2 linked regions of the Sus scrofa genome follow. Each later gene encodes a partner of the first gene's protein in a complex. Links are inferred from orthologs where the notes say so. Each region holds a gene or a part of one and is shown on either strand. Other genes may lie near its edges.

Region 1 (5,518 bases):
TATGCCTATGGTTTTGAGAAGCCCTCTGCCATCCAGCAGCGAGCCATTCTTCCTTGTATCAAGGGTAAGGTCTTTGCCCCAGAAAAAATGTATGGGCTGTCCCTGGCCTGGGTAGAGTGGCATCTGGTTGGTGGTGCCTGTCTCATATCAGCCAGGGACAAAGCAACTCCTTGTTTATCCCAGCTTGGCTTTTGGTTTGTGCCTATGCCTGGTTCATGCCCTGGACACATGGATTGTTGGCTTCATTTAAGTCAGGCTCTTGTTTTTAGGCAGATTATAATTTTACACCTGTATTTGTAGCCCAGCTTTGGGGTGCCATGCTAAATGAGTTGTTGCCTTCACCTGGCTTCCAGGTCTGCCTTGGTACTGTGTTGTGGTATCAAGTCTGTGAAGCACTTACTGTTTGGCACATATACGGACCCTTCTGTGGGTTATTTTTCAGTGTCCCATGATTCCAAAGAATATTTCCTGCCATTAAATTTCTCTCTCATTTTGTCACTTTAGGTTATGATGTGATCGCTCAAGCCCAATCTGGGACTGGGAAAACTGCCACTTTCGCCATATCAATTCTGCAGCAGATTGAATTGGATCTAAAGGCCACCCAGGCCTTGGTCCTGGCACCCACTAGAGAGTTGGCTCAGCAGGTGAGATTTTACCTCTCCCCAAAGGACTCATTTAGAAATGAATAATAAAACCCAAAAATCAGAAGTATGTGCCCCGACTACCACCACCTTGGAAGAACTGACGTATAGAGAATGAAAGAGATGAAACAAAGTCAGTTGATAACTTGTAGATCTTTTGGGATTTATTAGGTTAATTATAAACCTTAACCAAGCACAGTAAGCATCCTTTACTCCACCCGTTTCCTGAGTCAGATGTGAAGGCTGCTGGGTGGAATGTGACTGGCTGGGCAAGTTTGGCTCTTCTATGACCAAAACCCCCTGGCAATGGGCAAAGAGACACCTGATTGGTGGTGTTGTTCTTATATCAGTCATGGGAAAAGCAGATGTGTATATAGTCCTCTGTTCATCCTAGCTTGATGCCTGGGTTGGTGGCCAGAGCTGTTTCATGCCTAGGACACATGGAATGAACTGTTTTCCTGGGTCTTAGAGGAAAAGGATCAGAGACACCTGTCTCATAAATTGACTGTTTTCTTGCCTATGAAGTGAGTGTTTAATAGTGCTTGAGTTGTTGGGAAAAATAAATTCATAAGCATTTTTTCCCCCCTGGGGCCACACCTGTGGCATACGGGGAGGTTCCCAGGCTAGGGTTCCAATTGGAGTTGTAACTGTCGGCCTACACCAGAGCCATGGTAACATTGGATCCAAGCTGCCTCTGCTGCCTATACCACAGCCCACGGCAATGCAGGATCCTTAACCCACTGAGCAGGGCCAGGGATCGAACCCACAACCTTATGGTTCCTAGCCAGATTTGTTAATCACTGAGGCACGACAGGAACTCCAGTACATAAGCATTTATGAGATGGAGCCTGGTGACTATAGCTAACACAGCATTTTATCTTTTCAGATACAGAAGGTGGTTATGGCATTAGGAGATTACATGGGTGCTTCCTGCCATGCCTGCATTGGTGGTACCAATGTGCGTGCTGAGGTGCAGAAGCTACAGATGGAAGCTCCCCACATCATCGTGGGTACCCCAGGCCGTGTGTTTGATATGCTTAACAGGAGATACTTGTGTGAGTGTCTCAATTTTCCAGGTCTCTGGGTCACTTCCTTAAGCATGTTTTCCCAGTTTTTTTTTTTTTTTTTTTAAGCATTGCTCTGTGATGAACCCCATGCGTGTCATCTGAGCCTGGCTTCCCTGTCAGCTCAGCCCAGGTAGTGTTCTACTTCTCAGGGCTGTTGTCTGGCCTTGCAAGGGGCTCACAGGCAAAGGATCAATCTTTGTATTCTGAGAGCAGACCACCTATCTCCTATTCTTTATCTGGGAAGAAGTGAAAGTATATCTTACCTTTTTTAAATACCTGTTGGTGTGTGTGTGTTTTTTTTTCTTTTGTTAGCTCCCAAATACATCAAGATGTTTGTATTGGATGAAGCTGATGAGATGTTAAGCCGAGGGTTCAAGGACCAGATCTATGACATATTCCAAAAGCTCAATAGCAACACCCAGGTGAGAAGAACATTGGGGTTTTGCTCGTGTGAGTGGTGATTCCTTTGTACGGATGGTAGTGTTCTCGGGGTGAGAGACCATTACAAAGTGCCAGACAAACCATAAAGCTCTGGAGGACCTGCTACCTCCCCTGAGACTGTTGTCCCCATTAGGTGGTTTTGCTGTCAGCTACAATGCCTTCTGATGTGCTGGAAGTGACCAAGAAGTTCATGCGGGACCCAATTCGAATCCTTGTCAAGAAGGAAGAGCTGACCCTGGAGGGTATTCGCCAATTCTACATCAATGTGGAACGCGAGGTGGGGCCCAGTGCAGGAGGCGGGCCTGGCAGGAAGGCGGGGGGATAGCCCCTGACTGATTTCTCCCCCACCCCCAGGAGTGGAAGCTGGACACCCTGTGTGACTTGTACGAAACCCTGACCATCACCCAGGCAGTCATCTTCATCAACACCCGAAGGAAGGTCGACTGGCTCACGGAGAAGATGCACGCCCGAGACTTCACCGTCTCTGCTATGGTGAGCGCCCGCCGCCACCGCTGCGGCCGTGGTTTCCCAGCAAGAGGGGGGCTGTCACAGGCCTACTTCCCCAGCCAGTTCTCGCTGAACCAGCACACCTACCTGCTAACAGCCGCCTTCTGTTTCCTGTTGTAGCACGGGGACATGGACCAGAAAGAACGCGACGTCATCATGAGGGAGTTCCGCTCGGGCTCCAGCAGAGTGTTGATTACCACGGATCTGCTGGTGAGTAGAAGCTGAGTAGAAGCGAGTGTGAGAAGACTGGGGACCAAGGGCGGATCCAAGGTGATTCCCTCTCCAAGGGGCCTGCTTGTGCCCCTCTTCTGGAAAGTAGCAGCTTGGAATAACATCTGGCAGGCCTGAGGCTCTGGCGGCGAGGGGCTGTAAACATCCTCTGCCTGCCTTGGGCTGCCCACACACACGCCTCTCCTGGACAGACTCCTCCCTCTCCCTGGAGTCACCCACTGAAGCCGCCTTCTCTCCCACACAGGCCAGAGGCATCGACGTGCAGCAGGTTTCCTTAGTCATCAACTATGACCTTCCCACCAACAGGGAAAACTACATCCACAGGTAAAGACACCTGCCAGGCTGCCCCCCCCCGCCCAGTCCTCCCTGCACAGCAGCGCCCCGGTCTTCCCCATCTTCCTCATACTCTAACTTGTTTCCCAGGATCGGTCGTGGCGGACGTTTTGGCCGTAAGGGTGTGGCTATTAACATGGTGACAGAAGAAGACAAGAGGACTCTCCGGGACATTGAGACCTTCTACAACACCTCCATCGAGGAGATGCCCCTCAATGTTGCTGACCTCATCTGAGGCGCTGCTCTGCTCTCCCAGCCCCAGCCAGGGATCCGACCTGTCCTTGAGGGGGGCTGAGGAACAGCAGCAGGGGGGAGGGAAGGGAGCCAAGGGATGGACATCTTGTCATTTTTTTCTTTTTTTTTTTTTTTCTTTGAATAAATGTCACTTTTTGAGGCAAAAGAAGGAACCATGACCATTTTAGACACCCTTTTCTTTGGGGCAGGCTCTTGCCCCAGGCGCCGGCTCTTCTCCCAGAAACACTAATCCATTTCCCTAACCTCGTCAACTTTCAAACCCAAGGCTCTCCCCACCCCAGCTGAATTCTGAAAATAATTCAGTGGGGGCTGTAATGCCCCTCCACCTCATTTGCTGGACCAAATCTGGAGGGAGAGCCCGAGTTAAGTGGCCCAGGGCACTGTCCCCAGGTGGGGGGGGAGCAGGGGAAAGAACATGGTAGCCATTTTTACATTGTTTTTGTATAGTATTTATTGATGCAGGAAAACAAACACAAAATTCTGAATAAAATAACTTGGAAACTGCTTTGGCTTCTCATTTCTTACCTCTCCTTCCCCTACCCCGCTACTGGGTAGGTACAGCTCTGCTCCCCTGCTGAACTGGGTAACCGGTAACATGACTCTTAGGAAGGGGCTGGGCCAGCACAGTCATAAGCAGCTCACATGTCTCTAGGCAAAGAGGAAGTGATCTGAGCCCAGAGAAAGGGGAAATCAAAGTTGTGATCTTTACACCCCGTTGAGCTTGGGGGGTGGGGGGCTGTGGCTGCAGGCTCTGGTCCTTTGATCACCTGCAACCCCTGAGCATATTTTCCTGAGGTGGACAAGAGTCTCCCAGGATCGACTACCCCAAACTCCCTTCTCACGTAACACAGTGCCCACTTTGGAAATGCCAGGGCTAATCACTAGGTGACACAAATTTGATGACTCAGGAGATTAGTGGCTGGAGCTGAGGTGCCTGAGTCAAGTTGGGGGCGGGGCTACCAGTTAACAGGAAGTCAGATTTATTTCCTTTTCCCAAAAGGCTGAGGGATTAGGATTGAGAGAGCAGGCAGCTGGGACCCACACAGAACTTAGCTGGATTCTGAGTGCAGGCTGTTCTGACATGACGTTGGCTGTGCTCTTCTTAGGGGCCCTGCTGGGACTCCTCGCAGGTAAGGCGAAGGCGGCTGGGGGTGGGGGGTGCCCAGGGAGAAGCCTGCCCCTGGGTTGCCAACCAGTTCTTTCCTCTGCTGAAAGCCCAGGGAGCTGGGGTCGACTCTCCTCATAAAAAATCAGCCACTCTGCTGCCATCCTTCACGGTGACACCTACGGCTACAGAAAGCACCACCAGCCACAGAACCACCACTCCAAGAACCACCACCACAGGCACCACCAGCCATGGGCCCACAACAGTCACTCACAATCCTGCTACCACCACCAGTCACGGAAATGCCACAGTTCATCCAACAAGCAGCAGCACTGCCACCAGCCCAGGATCCTCCACCAGATCCCCCCACCCAGGGCCACCTCCACCCTCTCCAAGTCCTAGCCCGGGCTCCCAGGAGGCCATAGGAGACTACACTTGGACGAACGGCTCCCAGCCCTGCGTCCAGCTCCAAGCCCAGATTCAGATTCGAGTTCTGTACCCAACCCAGGGTGGAGGAGAGGTGAGGACAGGCGGGGAAGGGCACGCAGCCTGCTGCCCTGGTTCAGAAGGGGAGGAGTAGAGGGGGCCAAACCCAGCGTGAAGACCAAAGGAACAAGGAAGGAAGCTTGACTGGCGCAGCTGTGCAGTCTTGTGACCCTCTCATCTTTAACTTCTGCAGGCCTGGGGCATCTCTGTACTGAACCCCAACAAAACCAAGGCCCTGGGGGGCTGTGAGGGTGCCCATCCCCACGTGCGCCTCTCATTCCCCTACGGACAGCTCACCTTTGGATTCAAGCAGGTACTCAACCCTCATCCCTCGCTCTCGGCCTCCAAGCCCCCTATGCCTCCAAACCCCTTGCCACACTCCTTAGTCTGTGTACCTGGATCTGCCGCTGCCTGAGTCTTCCTGATCACTTCCCCAGCAGCCACAGGAGAGC
Region 2 (6,060 bases), on another chromosome or scaffold:
AAACAGAGAGAGGTAAGGATATATGGGTAAAATCTTGATTTAAAAAAAATTAAATTGAACTATAGGCAGTGACATACTTTTTTTTTTTTTTTTTTTGAATAGGAAATGCTAAGAGATTTAAATCTTGGTGAAATGAAAAGTGGAGTACCGGTGTTAGCAGTGTCCTTAGCCTTGGAGGGAAAAGCTAGTCATAGAGAAATGACATCTAAGCTTCTTTCTGACCTTTGTGGGACAGTAATGAGCACAAATGATGTAGAAAAATCATTTGATAAATTGTTGAAAGAGCTACCTGAATTAGCATTGGATACTCCTAGAGCACCACAGGTTTGTCTGATTCTTCTTTTTGTTCATTCTCTCCCTTTACATATGCTTGCAATTATAGAACTAATAACATGCTCCTAGGAAATTTTAGTAGATGAAAGGGGAAAAACTGGCCATAGTCCCTACCACACAAAAGTAGCCCTCTTTAACATCTTGCTATAGTTTTCCCTGGCTGTTTTTTTTTTTTTCCCCTTCAAACATAGTTTTCATCACACTATGATTTTATGTCTTACTTCCACCCCATGCTCTGTGTAAGTTTTGGGTCATATATTTTGTTCTGTCTCTCTGTTCTCTATTACATGTACTTAAGCTGTTTCATGAGCTAGGTTTTTTTTTTTAATGTAGATTATTGAGGATTGAGTTTTCTTGACTAATGTTTATTATAAAAATAATCATAAATAAGATTATTCCCTTTTGTAGCTTTGTGGGGAAATAATTAGAAAATTCATGACTTATGTATGCTTTTATTTAGATTCTGTCCTCAAAGCCTTATACTTTTATTAGATTTAATACATGCTGACACTATAATATGACTTTCTGGTTTGAAATTGAAAACGTGTGAAATCGTTGCTATTTACCTGACCAAAGTTTTAAAGCAAGGTAGGAGCACTTTACTTAAACATTAATTTAGGAATAGAGTATAGGTAGGTTAACCTAAATGCTATTTCTGTTACACTTACCTGTGATAGTAGTCTCTGTTAGTATTGAGCTTTGTTTCAAACTTGAACTTTTTTTATCTTTTTGGCTGCCCAGTGGCATGTGGAGCTCTGGGGGTCAGGGATCAGATCTGAGCCACAGTTGCAACTGAAGCTGGGCCAGGGATTGAACCTGTGTCCCAGTAGAAACTCTTTTTTTTTTTTTTTTCCTTAATACCAATACCTATACTTAAAAAAAAAAAAATTGTCCGGAAGTTTATATTCATTATAGAAGTTTTGCCCAAAAGGAAGAAAGGCCAGCAAAAATAACCACTGGTAACTGTTAACATTTTGATATTGAATCTTCCATTCTTCTTTTTGTATGTATGTAAATGTATGGTTTTTATATATCCTTAAATTTTAAAATTGTTTTAATAAGTGGAATCAAGAGTTGCCTAGTGATGCAGCAGGTGATCAGGTGTTGTCACTGCTATGGCTTTGGTCACTCACTGCTGTGACGCAGGTTTGATCCCTGGTCTGGGGTCTTCTGCAAGCTGTAGTCTGCCCCCTGCCCCCTCCATTAAAAGTGGAATCATATTATTTACGCTATTTTGTAAACTCGATTTTTCTTACACCATAAAATGTGATAAACATTTTGCCACATGGTGTACCATCCTGCATATACACCATTTAACCACACCTTTATTGTTAGACACTAAGTTGTTGTTTTCAATTTTTAGAAGAACTAATGCTGTGGGCATACTTTCAGATAAGTATTTCTATACAACTTTCCACTCTTAAGTTAAATTCCTTTAATTAAACAGTTTTTTTTTGAGAGACTATAGTCCAATTTTCTTTTTTCCAGAAGAGAGGTTTCCCTTGACTATTAAGCCATTGACTTAAGTATTTTTAATTATATGCTATGTTTCAGGCAGTGTGCAAGGTGTTGGGGATTCAGTCATGAGCAAAACAGATGTTTTATGCCCCTCCATGGCACTTAACCTAAAGGTTAAGATGCGGGAGTGTTATGCCAAGCATAACCAGTAGGTGCTAAATGGGTGTTTTTTTAATATTCCAACATGTCTTAGGTATTCACTGTGTAATTCAGCCTGTCTTCATCATTTATGTATTTAGAAATTGTGTCCTATGAAGGTTTATTTTGGATTTTTTAATATAGCTTTTTTTCATTATATAGTTGGTGGGCCAGTTTATTGCTAGAGCTGTTGGAGATGGAATTTTATGTAATACCTATATTGATAGTTACAAAGGAACTGTAGACTGTGTACAAGCTAGGTAAGTAAATTAATTTTCCTACTAAGACTTTGAAAATAGGGGAAAGTTCAACAGGATTCTGTTGAAATGACACTTGAATTGACCAGACATTGTAGCCACCTATTTGTTATGTGTATGTACTTGCCACAGTTAAAACAGAATTGAGAGATTCTTGACATGATGCAACAGAAAGAGGACAGTAATATAATGCAGAAGTTCTGTGTTTTAGCTAAACTATTGGCTACATTTATGTCAAGCCACTTTTCTCTCAGCCTCAGTTTCCTTATTTATAAAATGAATGAATGGGACTTAGAGGGCTCTTTAAGTTCCTTTCAAATATTAATATTCTGTAATTAGAAGAATAAGGTGGATAATATTAACAAAGCAGTTTTCAGTTTTATACTTATTTGCTATAGAAGTCTTAGGAAATAATGTTTTTCACTTTTGTTCTTTGGTATAATTGTAAGATAATTTCAGAGTTATGTTAATATGATTTTTCATAGCTTCTTAGAAACTTAGATTTGGACTTAGCTGTGCTTTATGTTTTCACAAGTGTAGATATGAATTTTCTAGGACTACTTCAGCTCATAGTGGAATGGTTGCCATGGTGGAATGTCATGATTCTATGTAAAAGTTAGTTTTAGGTGAAATGTTCCTTCTTAATACAGATCAGTTATTTTGAGATAATGTTATATTTTTGTTGACTGAGAAGTAGAAATAAGTGAGTATGAGAATATTAAATGAGAAGCAACTTTTTTGTTCCCAACTTTTTATTTTAAAAAGTAGTTTTTTAAGAGACTTCTGAATTTTAGGTTGCTTTTATGTTATGTGAAAGTTTTCTAGTGTATGTGTCCCCCCCCCCAACTTTATCCATAATTTGGTCAATCTCAAGCATGTCTATATGTTAAAATTAACTTTTTTTTTATTTTGGTAGAGCTGCTCTGGACAAGGCTACGGTGCTCCTGAGTATGTCTAAAGGTGGAAGGCGCAAAGACAGTGTATGGGGCTCTGGAGGTGGGCAGCAGTCTGTTAATCACCTTGTTAAAGAGGTAACTATGGGGTATTGTCTTTAACTTAATTTATATGAATTTTTTTCTTTTTGGCCATGCCAATAGCATGAGGAAGTTCCCTGGGCCAGGGATCGAACCCACACCTCAGTAGCAACCCATGCTGCTCCAGTGACGATGCCAGATCCTTAACCCACTCTGCCACAAGAGAACTCCAATTTATATGTATTCTTTAGCTGGTATTTTTTTGGACAAAAGTTAAGTTTAGTTTTATAGCTGCAAGTGGAAAATTGAATAATTCTTATATATTGGCTTTATGCCTTTTTGCTATAAATTATACACTAATTGCATAATCATTATTCAATTTTTATGATATTCCTGACTTAAAAATAAGACTATGTTGCTAAAAGGGCTTTCATGAGTAATTAAAAGGAGGCTGTGTAGGAACCTCAAAGGAATATCTGAAGTCTCTTTCTTATTTTGGTATTTTTTTTCAAATACTGTTGATATAAGAGTTTCTGTTTTGTAGTTATTCAGTAAATATCCACTTTCATAAGAGCAGTTTGAAACTGGATGGTCTCAGATTATAATAGTTATGAATTATGAACGTTAGATCAGAGTGCTAGATTTTTCTAAGGAAATTCACTACCTATATGCATGCTTTAAAAGAAAAAGTAGGAGTTCCCGTCGTGGTGCAGTGGTTAACGAATCCGACTAGGAACCATGAGGTTGCGGGTTCGGTCCCTGCCCTTGCTCAGTGGGTTAATGATCCGGCATTGCTGTGAGCTGTGGTGTAGGTTGCAGACGCGGCTGGGATCCCGTGTTGCTGCGGTTCTGGCGTAGGCCGGCGGGTACAGCTCTGATTAGACCTCTAGCCTGGGAACCTCCATATGCCACGGGAGTGGCCCAAGAAATGGCAAAAAGACAAAAAAAAAAAAGTAGATTTTTGCATTAACGCCAGATTTATTCTCTTATAGATTTTTTTTTTTCTGGCAAAAAAGTTAAGTGATGTTCTATAAGAAACTAAAAAAAGTAATCTTATTTGAAGATTTTAAGAAAATTAGATTTATAGTATAGGTGCTTCTGACTTTTGGGTATAATCTTTTCATATGGCTATAGTTTTGATGTTTAATAAATATTTTAATATGTATAACAAGTTAGAATGTTAAGGAGCTCAAAATATAGTTAGAGCTTTGACCAGTTTTGCTTTTATATATGTTAAGGTAGATGAGTTGGTATTTGTAATGTCATGATTGCAATATCTGTTTTTTAAAAAATTATAACATTATTAGAAAATTGAGGTATAAAAAAGCCAAGATACTGTAGCAGTTCAGCAAGAAAATGAAATAGAAGGCATCTAAATTGGAAAAGAGGAAGTAAAATTATCTCTCTTCCCAGATGACATGATCTGTATATAGAAAACCCAAATGACTCCTTAAAAAAACAAAAACACCAAACTATTAATTTATAAACAAATTCAACTCAGTTTAAGGATACAAGATCAATATACAAGATTTAATTCCAGGGATTTCCTGTTGTGGCTCAGTGGGTTACAAACCTGAGGATCCATGAGGATGCAGCTTGGCCTTTGATTCCTGGCCTTGCTCAGTGGGTTAAGGGCCAGCGTTGCTGTGAACTGTGGTGTAGATCACAGAGGAGGCTTGGATCCCATTTTGCTGTGGCTGTGGTGTAGGCTGGCATGTGTAGCCCTAAAAAGCAAAGAAAAAAAAATTAATTCTAGATCTTCTGAACACTAGCAGTGAATGATTAATCTGAAATGAAATTAAGAAAACAGCACAGGGAACTGCATCCAGTCTCTTAGGTAAGAACCCGATGGAAAAATACAAAACTAAACAAAAGTGGGTTTGTATGGGTGACTGGGTCACTGCTATGAAGCAGAAACTGAAGGAACATTGTAAATCAACTATACTGTAATAAAAATTAAAAAAAGAAAGCAATTCCATTTACAACAGCATGAAAAGATTAAAATGTGTAGGAATTAATTTAACAAATCAAGTCTTAGGCACTAAACACTGCAAAACACTTGAAAGAAATTAAAGAAGGCCTAAATAAGTAGAGAGAGATATCCCATGTCAATGAACTGACTTAGTATTGTTAAGATGATAATACTCCTCAAAATTAATATTTTGAGAAACTGCCAGACTTTTTTATGGCATGTGAATTATCTCAACAAAAAAAGATAAAAATTGGAATAAAACTACCAATATATGAATTTGAGATTGACATTATTTGGTTATTCATTTTTTTTATATGGAAGGGTGAGTTGGACAAAATGGACTTTTAGAAATATATACATGTATTATAATTTATTGTCAAAAATGGCATGAAACCCAGTGGGAAATAATAATTTAATAATTATTTTAGGGAGTTCCCGTCGTGGCTCAGTGGTTAACGAATCCGACTAGGAACCATGAGGTTGCAGGTTCGATCCCTGGCCTCGCTTAGTGGGTTAAGGATCCGGCGTTGCCATGAGCTGTGGTGTAGGTCACAGATGTGGCTTGGATCCCGAGTTGCTGTGGCTGTTGCGTTGGCCGGGCAGCTGTAGCTCTGATTCAGTCCCTAGCCTGGGAACCTCCATATGCCATGGGCGCGGCCCTAGAAAAGACAAAAAAAAAAAAAAAAAAAAAAAAATTTAAATACTTAAAGTTACATAACAAAGTTAAAGAACTGATATAATTTAAATAATAAATATATTATCTTTTAATTATAAAGTGAAAATACTTAGTCAAGTGCCATGCTTTAAATACTTTCCTAAAGAATGATAATAGGAATTATTCGTCAAGATGTATTCTGTTGGTAAAACT

What was found. The genes of interacting proteins can lie anywhere in the genome.
Region 2: the proteins of EIF4A1 (region 1) and PDCD4 are in contact, whole or in part, in a crystal structure (PDB 2ZU6), measured with the Homo sapiens proteins. The link is inferred for Sus scrofa from reciprocal best matches to the Homo sapiens genes EIF4A1 and PDCD4. Residues at the interface, in NP_001407.1 of Homo sapiens: Gln75, Thr109, Arg110, Glu111, Ile135, Gly137, Val140, Thr158, Gly160, Arg161, Asp164, Glu186, Leu188, Ser189, Arg190, Gly191, Phe192, Gln195, Ala214, Thr215, Met216, Pro217, Glu240, Leu241, Thr242, Asn280, Thr281, Arg282, Arg283, Thr329; in NP_055271.2 of Homo sapiens: Pro170, Gln173, Glu174, Glu177, His178, Glu183, Glu186, Met187, Asp190, Leu209, Glu210, Lys212, Glu249, Leu250, Leu252, Asp253, Thr254, Pro255, Arg256, Gly320, Gln321, Gln322, Ser323, Val324, Leu327, Glu348, Lys352, Glu355, Val356, Pro357.

Annotation. Positions count from the first base shown.
Region 1 is NC_010454.4:52,870,270-52,875,787, forward strand, and holds the end of EIF4A1 (eukaryotic initiation factor 4A-I), read left to right. Parts: coding exon 1-64; intron 65-504; coding exon 505-644; intron 645-1,527; coding exon 1,528-1,696; intron 1,697-2,020; coding exon 2,021-2,130; intron 2,131-2,282; coding exon 2,283-2,426; intron 2,427-2,503; coding exon 2,504-2,641; intron 2,642-2,776; coding exon 2,777-2,866; intron 2,867-3,131; coding exon 3,132-3,211; intron 3,212-3,310; coding exon 3,311-3,455; 3' UTR 3,456-3,667; downstream 3,668-5,518. UniProt on the Homo sapiens protein: ATP-dependent RNA helicase which is a subunit of the eIF4F complex involved in cap recognition and is required for mRNA binding to ribosome.
Region 2 is NC_010456.5:121,322,474-121,328,533, forward strand, and holds part of PDCD4 (programmed cell death protein 4), read left to right. Parts: intron 1-102; coding exon 103-324; intron 325-2,151; coding exon 2,152-2,249; intron 2,250-3,162; coding exon 3,163-3,277; intron 3,278-4,883; exon of another isoform or gene 4,884-4,944; intron 4,945-6,060. UniProt on the Homo sapiens protein: Inhibits translation initiation and cap-dependent translation. May excert its function by hindering the interaction between EIF4A1 and EIF4G. Inhibits the helicase activity of EIF4A. Modulates the activation of JUN kinase.